Linked DNA regions of Oryctolagus cuniculus. The protein of the gene in region 1 interacts with the protein of each later gene in a pairwise test. Links are inferred from orthologs where the notes say so. Each region holds a gene or a part of one and is shown in the gene's direction. Other genes may lie near its edges. The genes, in order: FLII and LRRFIP1.

Region 1 (4,346 bases):
GGCTGACCCCCGCGGCCCCGGCCACGGACCAGCGCTGCCATCGGCCCCCAGGCCTCCACGCTGCCAAGTGCGTAAAGCACTTGAAATGCCCACCCCTCCAGCGCACGCGCACCTGCCCCAGCGAGGGCTCCGTGCCACCTAAGGGGTGGGGGGCGCGCAGGAACCGAGCAGTTAAAAATAACCCGCAAGCCGCCGGCGCTGGGCCCGGGCTTACCAGGCCGGCGCGGCAGTCCCTCGGTGGGCCGGTTCACAGGCGAGGACAACGGAGGCCTTGGGAAACCCAGTCAAGCACCCGAGCCGGGAACGGCAGGGCCGGGACTCGAACTCGGGGCTCACAGGAATCCTCCCGGGCCCCGCCCCCGGACGTGCGCCACACCTAGGGCTGGGGGACCCGGGATGCGGGTTGTCGGGGAGGCCCCGCCGGGCTCCCAGCCGTACCTGCGTCGCGGCGTCCACACACCGACCGGACCACGCAGCGGGCCCGCCGGGACCCGGCGCCGGAACCCGCCTGCGGATGGAACGTGAAGGACCCGGGCCCCGAAGGCCGAGGCGCTGGCGTAGGCAGACGAGCAGGCCCTAGCTCCAATCGGAGCGCTCGGCTTCTTCAGGGGCGTTCCAAAACACTGCGAGGTTCGGCCAATGAGGGGCCTGCCACGCCCCTTCTCCGCCCTGCGCGCTCCCTCGGAGGCGGGGCTTTCCGGGGGCACTCCGGATTTAAAGGCGCAGGGCTGCATTATTGGGCCCGCAACGTTTGCGTGGTGCCTGCTTGGAGCCCACAGAGGCGCGGGGGATGCGTGCGCGTGTGCGTGTGTGATGTGAGCCTCCCGCGTGGAGGAAGCTGGCTGGGCCCCAGTTTCCTTCCTCTGGCCGGGCAGACGGGTGGTAGCACCTGGTCCAAAGGCCTGCACGCCGACCCCTAAGTCACCTTTGCGGGAGCGCCTTAGCACCTGTCTGCGCGCGGGGTAGGGGGTGTGCCGCCGGCCCCGTGCGTCCCTGGGCCTGCCCTCTGTCCGCCTGGGCCTCAGTTTCCCGTGCCGTACAATGGGGACGTAGGCAGCGCCCCTGGGAAGGGTGGTTTGCATGCGGGCCTTAATGAGAACCACCTGCCACGCACCAAGCACCTGCTGCGTGCTTCGAGCCGCACGTGCGCGCGTGGTCACTCGCTGCCGGCCACCACCTTGGTAGGGTGAGGAAGGTGGGGCCGCCCCGGCTCCGCACGGAGACCGCCGGGGACCCCTTGTGCGCGGACGCAGAGTGCGAGGCCCCCAGAGCGCAAGGCCCCCGGGCCCCGGCGAGGTCCCCAGAGCGCAAGGCCCAGGGCCCCGGCGAGGTCCCCAGAGCGCAAGGCCCCGGGCCCCGGCGAGGTCCCCAGAGCGCAAGGCCCAGGGCCCCGGCGAGGTCCCCAGAGCGCAAGGCCCCGGGCCCCGGCGAGGTCCCCAGAGCGCAAGGCCCAGGGCCCCGGCGAGGTCCCCAGAGCGCAAGGCCCCGGGCCCCGGCGAGGCCCGAGGTGCCGGCGGCGGCGGGCGCGGGCGGGTTAACGGGGCGGAGTCGGCGCTGGCCCAGCCCGCGGCTCCCGAGCCGCCCCCAGCGCCCGGCCGGCCCGGCAGCGAGAGCGGCGCCGCCATGGAGGCCACCGGGGTGCTGCCGTTCGTGCGCGGCGTGGACCTCAGCGGCAACGACTTCAAGGTGAGCGGCGATCCGGGCTCGGCGCGGGCACCACCTCGCCCGCCTCCGGCCACACTGCGGGCGGCGGCCGGGGCTCTGCGGGCCTCCCCACCGCAGCCCGCAGCCGGCACCCCGGGCCTCCGCCCAGCGTCCCCCCGCGGGAAGGCCGAGCCCGAGCGGCGCGGGCCCAGGCCGGGGGAGGGCGTGGGCGCTGCGGGCCTGCGCACCGCCGCCCCGGGGGTCTCACGGCCCAGCCGGCCGCTGACTCAGGGCCGCCGCTGCCTTGGCTGCCCAAGGGCGGGCCCGGAGGCGGCTCATCACCGCCCTGCGCTCCATCCTGTGTGGTCTTGGGCAAGTCACTTCCCCTCTCCCGGGCCTGGGTTTTTCTCATCCGGAGAAGGGACTCGAGTCTACCCTGCGAGTGTAGACTTGCGGTCTGGACGCTCTGGCTGGGGGGAGGTTCTCAATATGGGTAGGGGCGCCCAGAGCCAGAGCCAGGTGGGCGGGGCTTCCGGCCGGTGATGGGCAACCTCTGGCCTGTCCACTTAGGCGTCTCAGGGTGTGGGGCGGAGGCCGGCGGGCTCCTGTCCAGCCTGTGTTGTCCACATCTGTGCTGTCCCATCTCCGTTCCTCGTCCCGACCTCAGCCATCCCCACTTGGGGTCTCCACGCTTCTCCCCTGGGCTTGGGCGGGCCTGAGTCACCAGCTGGGAATGTGGCCGGTGGGGGGAGGGGCACAGCCCCTGGGCACTGGCTGCAGCGGCTGCCCCAGACTCGGCCACGAGGGCTGGGGGGGGGGTGTTGGGGAGGGGAACACGGGGAAGGAAGGAGGTGGCACCCACTCGGGCAGGGTTGGGAGAGGGGGACACAGGGCAGGGGACCTTGCTAGGAGTGGCCAGGGTGCTGAGGGTACGGGGTGGGGGTGGGGTCCCACAGCCCAGGCAGACCCAGAGTATGGGGCCCAGGAATTTGAGCTAAGCTCACCACACAATGGGGGGGCCAGGATATCCCCATTTTGCTTGGCCCCTCCTGGGGCTCAAGGGCAGTAGCAGAGACCCTCTTAGGCCTCCGCTCTGGCCCCTGGAGCCTCCACGGGTAGGGGAGGGGCTTGGGCCAGTAGGGAGGGCTCCCCTGGAGGGGGCGGGGCCTGTGGGGAGGATCTTGTGGTTGTTGAGAGTTGGCTGTGTGGCCTCCCTCAAATGTGCCCACGGGCAGGGGGAGCCCTCTCCCAGGCCAGCCTCAGCACACCCCCACCCCCACCCCAGGGTGGCTACTTCCCTGAGAATGTCAAGTCCATGACAAGCCTACGATGGCTGAAGCTGAACCGCACAGGCCTCTGCTACCTGCCCGAGGAGCTAGCCGCCCTGCAGAAGCTGGTGAGGAGGGGTGGGGTCTGTGGGGAGGAGGGGCGGGGCCTTGGGAGGATCTGGCAGACAGGGAGGGGATGAGCGCCCCGTCCTGGGAGGTGTGCAAGAAGCTGGGTCTGAGCAGGAAGGAGGCTGTGGGGGCGTCCTGGGCTGGCGCTGGCCGTCTGGGGCTGTGCAGAGCAGGGGTGGCAGGTGGGGACTGTGGATACCCCCGCCCCGCCCCACTGAGCCTCCGCTGCCCCGCCCTGGCACAGGAGCACCTGTCCGTGAGCCACAACAACCTCACCACGCTTCACGGGGAGCTGTCCAGCCTGCCTTCTCTGCGGGTGAGTGCGGCGGGTGCCGGACCCCAGGCAGGGCCCGGCCGGCTTCTCTGCCAGGCTCCGGGCTCTGGGGCCCTTTGTCGTGGGTGGACGTGGCGTGGTCCCTGTGGGTGGGGACAGCTCCACGGGTGCCAGGCATGCCGAGTGGACGTCCACGTCCCCCCATGCCTGACGGTGTCGCAGATGAGGACATGGCCACAGGCGCAGGTCACTCGCCCAAGGCCACACAGCCGGGCAGCCGAACAGCTGGAGTCGGGGGGGCGGGGTTTGGCCAGTGGGCGCTCTTCCCTGCTGGATGTTAGACTGCTGGCCGGGCCCTCGGAGCCTCAGGGAGGTGGCCCTGGCCCCGGCTGGAGCCTCAGCCCTGGGAGCTCCCCCGGAGCCAAGCCGGGCTCTGCCACTCCCAGCTGTGTGGCCTGGGACAAGTCCCTTCTGCAGATGGGGTGGCTGGGAGGGCCAGTGGGGACCCCGTGGGCAACCGCACAGCGCTGCGGAGGTGGCAGGGGCGGCCCCGGGGTCGCATGGGTCCCCGCTCTGTCCCCGACCTTAGGGAGGGAAGCATTTCCGGTCAGCCCACGTTGCCCTCTCTTCACTCCAGCCCCCTCCATCTGTCCTAGCCACCCTCACTCCAAACCGCACCCCATCTTCCTGAATGAACAGGAGGGGTGTCTGATCAGAAACATCTGGGGTTTCCGTGCTGGGCTCTGGGGCACATTTGGGTTTTGAAGCGTGAATAGGAGCTCACCGCGGGAGGCTGTAGAGCAGAGACAGGGCAGGCCCAAAGGGGCCCACCTCTGCCTCTGCCTCTGCCTCTTCCCGGGGCGGGGGGTGGAAGCCAGGAAGCAGGGACTCTCGTGGTCTACCCGCAGGCCATCGTGGCTCGAGCCAACCAGCTGAAGAACTCCGGAGTCCCTGACGACATCTTCAAGTTGGAGGACCTTTCTGTCCTGGTCAGTGGCTGCCCGCCCAGCTGCCCCCTGCCAGCCTCTTGG
Region 2 (4,380 bases), on another chromosome or scaffold:
AGTCCCTGGGGAGTCAGGGAGCCCTCCTGAAGGCAGGAGACATGGGAGCCGGGACGTGGCTCTGGATGAGGGTCCCAGCCATCTCCATCAGCCGCCCCGAGAGGGCGGTGGCCGCGTCTGCTCCAACACAGCACCTGGCTGCTTGCAGGTGGATGCGTGAGCCTTGGCAAAGACGGGGAGTCATCACAACACACCCGTGGGGCTGGACAGTGGCCACCAGCAAGTCCAGGGCACAGCCAGAGCGGCTGCCTGGTTTCCTCCAGCCAGGACCTGGTACTTGAGGAGCCAGGGCTCCGGGTGCTGTGAACTTAGTGGGGGAGATCCAACCCCAGCTACCTCCCGGTGCCTACCTGTGCAGGTGCAGCACCTGCTCAGAGCACAACAACACCAACACGGTCTGCCCTGCCAACCCGCCTCAGGCCAAGCAGGTGTCATGCAGGTGTTCCCTGGATGTCACCTCCCTCCCCTGTCACTCAACTCACCGTCCTGCCCTGCCACCGCGGGGGTCCCCTCCCCGCCCCTCCTCCACCCAGCTTCCAGGTTACCGAGAATTCACGACAATCCGCTCAGTTAGGAATATGCTAACGTGTCCTTCGGTCTGCAGGAAACACGGTGGCCTCGGCGCTCAGCGCATCCCCTTCCCTCTCCCACCACCCTTCTCCTGTCCAGACTTCTCCCTACATCCCCATCACTCCCAGGGTTCCCACTCTGCGGCTGCCTCTTTTCCCCAAGCCAGACGGCTAACGGCCAGAATGCTGGGCAAGGCTTTAGAAACCATACCTAATCCCCCAAATTACCTTAAACCCACTGAATGCCCATGGCGGCCTTCCACTCAGCTCAGGGGGTTCCTTTCCTACAGCCCAGGATCCAGCACAGGGCGGCACCAGCCGGGAACACACAGGGGAGTGACCGGTCCCGGCTGTGGGCTCCAGAGCAGGTGTGGACAGAACCCCGAATTCCTGCTCGGATTCCCAGGGCTCTGGCCAAGGTCACTCCGCTGAGCAGCGAGCAGATGATGTGAACGCACCTGGGCGTGACCCAGACCCGCAAGGCGCACAGACCCGGCACAGCCTCCTTGGCGCAGGTGGAACCCGGACCACACCTGCGCCCACTCCAGCCCACAGTGCCCACCGACTCCTTCCTTCCCAGCGCCCCGCAGAGGTCCCGCCTCCGCCAGCGCACCGCCCTCTCCAGGACCCCTCGCCCGCCCGCTGACCCCGGGGTGCGCCTCGCACCGCCCCCGGCCCCCGCCCACCGGCCCTCGGGCCCCGCGCGAGCGTCCCCAGCGCCATCGCTTGCGCGCGCCCGCCCCTGTCGTCCCTGGCCCCGGCGTCCTCGCGGGCCCCGCGCCCCCGTGCCCGCGTCCCCGCGCCCGCTGACGCCATGACGCCGCGGCGGAGGGAGGGGCCGCGCGGGGCCGCGCGGGGGCGGTGGACGGCGGGCAGCTGCGGGCAGCGCGGCCGTGGACATGGGCACCCCGGGCTCCGGGCGCAAGCGGCTCCCCACGCGGGAGCGGCTGACGGCAGAGGACGACGCGCTACACCAGATCGCGCGCGAGGTGAGGCGCGGCCCCCGGCGGTGCGGGACCCGGCCCGGGTCTCCCCGCGCCCCCGCTCTCGCCGGCGGCCTGCGGACCCCGCATGTCCTCGGCTCGGGACAGGCCCTGCGCGAGCCTAGCAGGGGCGCAGCGAGCTGTGGCGGGGCGCGGGCGGCCGCCAGGGGCGAGTGCCCGCTTTGTGCGCTGCGGGCGGTGAGGGGTGCTGTGGGGGACCCCGAGGCCGCGTGGCTCTGCCGCAGTAGCCCGGGTGTTCGGCTGCCGTTTGCGCTGGGGGGTGCCGGTGGGGGTCCCCGCGTCCTGAGTCTGGGCGGAGCTGATGCGGGGTGCAGGCGCTCGGTGAGGTTCGGTGGAAGTCGGGCGGCTGACTGACTGCAGCCGAGGTCTTGTGGGAAGTGAACTTTGCGCGCGGTGAACCCCACGCACTGCTGGGTGTCCGTCCCAAGGCCCTTTTCCCCATCCCTGGGTGGGTAGGGGATTCACCTGTGAATGGCAGTGGCGGAGGGGAAGGGAGCTGGTGCCGGGGTCTCCAGGGGACAAAGGAAGCCTGCTTGTTCCTGCTGTGGCCTTGGGGTTGTGTGCCCAGCCTGCGCCGGGACCGAGAGGGACGTGTGCCCACGTGCACGGCCGCCCAGGGTCAGCCTGAGGGAGGGTTGCTGTGCGGTCCCGAGTCCCACCTGGGGAAACTTCCTGGCAGCTGGGGTTGCTGTGGGCTCACAGCCGCACGCTTCCTGGGATCTGGGGTGTCTCCCACCCTGAACCCCCCGGCTTTGCCTTTGCCGACGTGGGGCGGCCACCAGCATTTGTTGAGTATTCACTGAGAAAGCCTTGTTTTTCTGGTGTGAGACAGAATAGGGCTTTCTGGGCAAACTCCGAGGCCTCCCTGGGAGCCAGGGTGGACACCACACCTGTGATGCCTGCCTCACCCCAGGCTGGGCCTCCGCGCCTCCACGTGGCACCTGCTGTGGTCGTAATCATGTCCTCACCTGGAGAAGGTCATACCCGGGCCACCAACGTCATTCTCACCTCTGCATCCCAAGAGCTCAGCACGGAGCCGGGCGCAGCAGGTACAGGCACTGAGAGGGCCTTTGGCCACCTGTAGCAGTCTGGATGGTGCCAGCACCCTTCCCCATGAAGGCAGCCCCGTGTGCGTGTATCTGGACAGAACCGAAACACAGGACCAGAGCTGACTGGGGAACGCTGGTCCTTGTCTTCCCCTGGTGGCTGTGGGACAAAGGAACGAGAAGAATGAGTCTCCCAGGTCTGCTCTTATCTGCCTGTTCTATAAAAATAGATTGGCTGGAAAGGGGGGGAATGCCCGCCCGGCTGACAGCCCGGAGGCCCCGCCTCCCACCAGGGAGCAGCAGCTGCCAGTCACAGGGATGGACTTGGAGTCAGACCCTGGCTGTGATGTCCTGGGGAAGGGAGCTCCTCCCCCTCCTCTGCGCCTGTGTTCTCTCTGAGAAGGAGGGCAGGAAGTCCCCCGGCTGCCAGGACTGGAGAGGGCGAGGGTAGCAGACAGGCACACAGGCACACAGGCACAGAGACACAGACACAGACACAGACACAAAGATACACAGACACGCAGAGACACAGACATGCACAAAGACACAAACACACAGACACACATGCACAGACACAAAGATACACACACAGACACACACAGACACAAAGATACACAGACACACAGAGACACAGACATGCACAAAGACACAAACACACAGACATACATGCACACAGACACAAAGATACACAGACACACATGCACACAGACACAAAGATACACACACAGACACACACAGACATGCACACAAGCACAGAAACAGACACATGCACACATGCACAGACACATGTACACAAAGATACACCTGCACAGACACACTCATACTCAGGCACACATGCACATACATACACACAATACAGACACAGATTGAGACACAGATATACATACACGCAGACACGCACACACACAGATACACAGACGTACAAGCACACACACAGATACCAGACACATGCACACAGACATGCATGCACACACAGACATGCACACAGGCACAGATACACGGGCATACATGCACACACAGACACACGTGCACACACAGGCCATATACACAGACATGCAGCACAGATACACACAGACACATACACTTACAGAGACATGCACACACAGTGTGCCCTTCAGTCAGGATGTCTGGGCTGCTAGGACACACCTCTGAACACGTGCGGGTCCTCAGGGGAGGTGGCTGGGCTGGGGTGCAGAAAGTGCGGGGCCTGGCAGGATTCCCACAGCCGCACCGGCAGCTCGGGCCTCTCGACCCCTGTGGGTGGCCTCCTCCCGCGTCCCCGTGAGCCGCCCCCTTCCTGATCTGGGAGCTGTCCCGACACCCAGAAGCTCTCCTTGAGACACCTGCACCTGTCTCCCAGCATCCCTTGGGCCATGCACTGGGACCGGGACACTGGACCCAGGGCCAGGCCCGTCCTGGAAGTGGGCAGAGCCAGCCTCCCCTGAGGCTGTGTGGAGGATGGAAGGGACGAGCCCTTAGGAATGTGGCAGGGAGTGGGGTGGACCTGGGTCAGGCGTCCAGGAATGTGCCTTCCAGAGGGAGTGGGGAGATTCTGGCTGAGGCCACGGCCACGGCCATGAGTAGGGGCCCAGTCCCTCTGGAGCAGGAGTGAGAGCTGGGCTCCGTCACCAAGGGGGTTGCCTTGGGAGGGGTTGGGATCTACAGCCATAGTCCAGGCAGGTGTGCGCCACAGCATGCGGCCGAGTCCAGGCAGGTGTGCGGCACGGCATGCGGCCGAGTCCAGGCAGGTGTGCGGCACAC

What was found.
Region 2: the proteins of FLII (region 1) and LRRFIP1 interact in binary tests that used the Homo sapiens proteins (3 or more experiments, as listed by UniProt). The link is inferred for Oryctolagus cuniculus from reciprocal best matches to the Homo sapiens genes FLII and LRRFIP1.

The regions. Positions count from the first base shown.
Region 1 is NC_091448.1:62,266,451-62,270,796, forward strand, and holds the start of FLII (protein flightless-1 homolog), read left to right. Parts: upstream 1-1,528; 5' UTR 1,529-1,623; coding exon 1,624-1,686; intron 1,687-2,929; coding exon 2,930-3,040; intron 3,041-3,285; coding exon 3,286-3,357; intron 3,358-4,223; coding exon 4,224-4,304; intron 4,305-4,346. UniProt on the Homo sapiens protein: Is a regulator of actin polymerization, required for proper myofibril organization and regulation of the length of sarcomeric thin filaments. It also plays a role in the assembly of cardiomyocyte cell adhesion complexes.
Region 2 is NC_091434.1:2,644,161-2,648,540, reverse strand, and holds the start of LRRFIP1 (leucine-rich repeat flightless-interacting protein 1), read left to right. Parts: upstream 1-1,401; 5' UTR 1,402-1,468; coding exon 1,469-1,558; intron 1,559-4,380.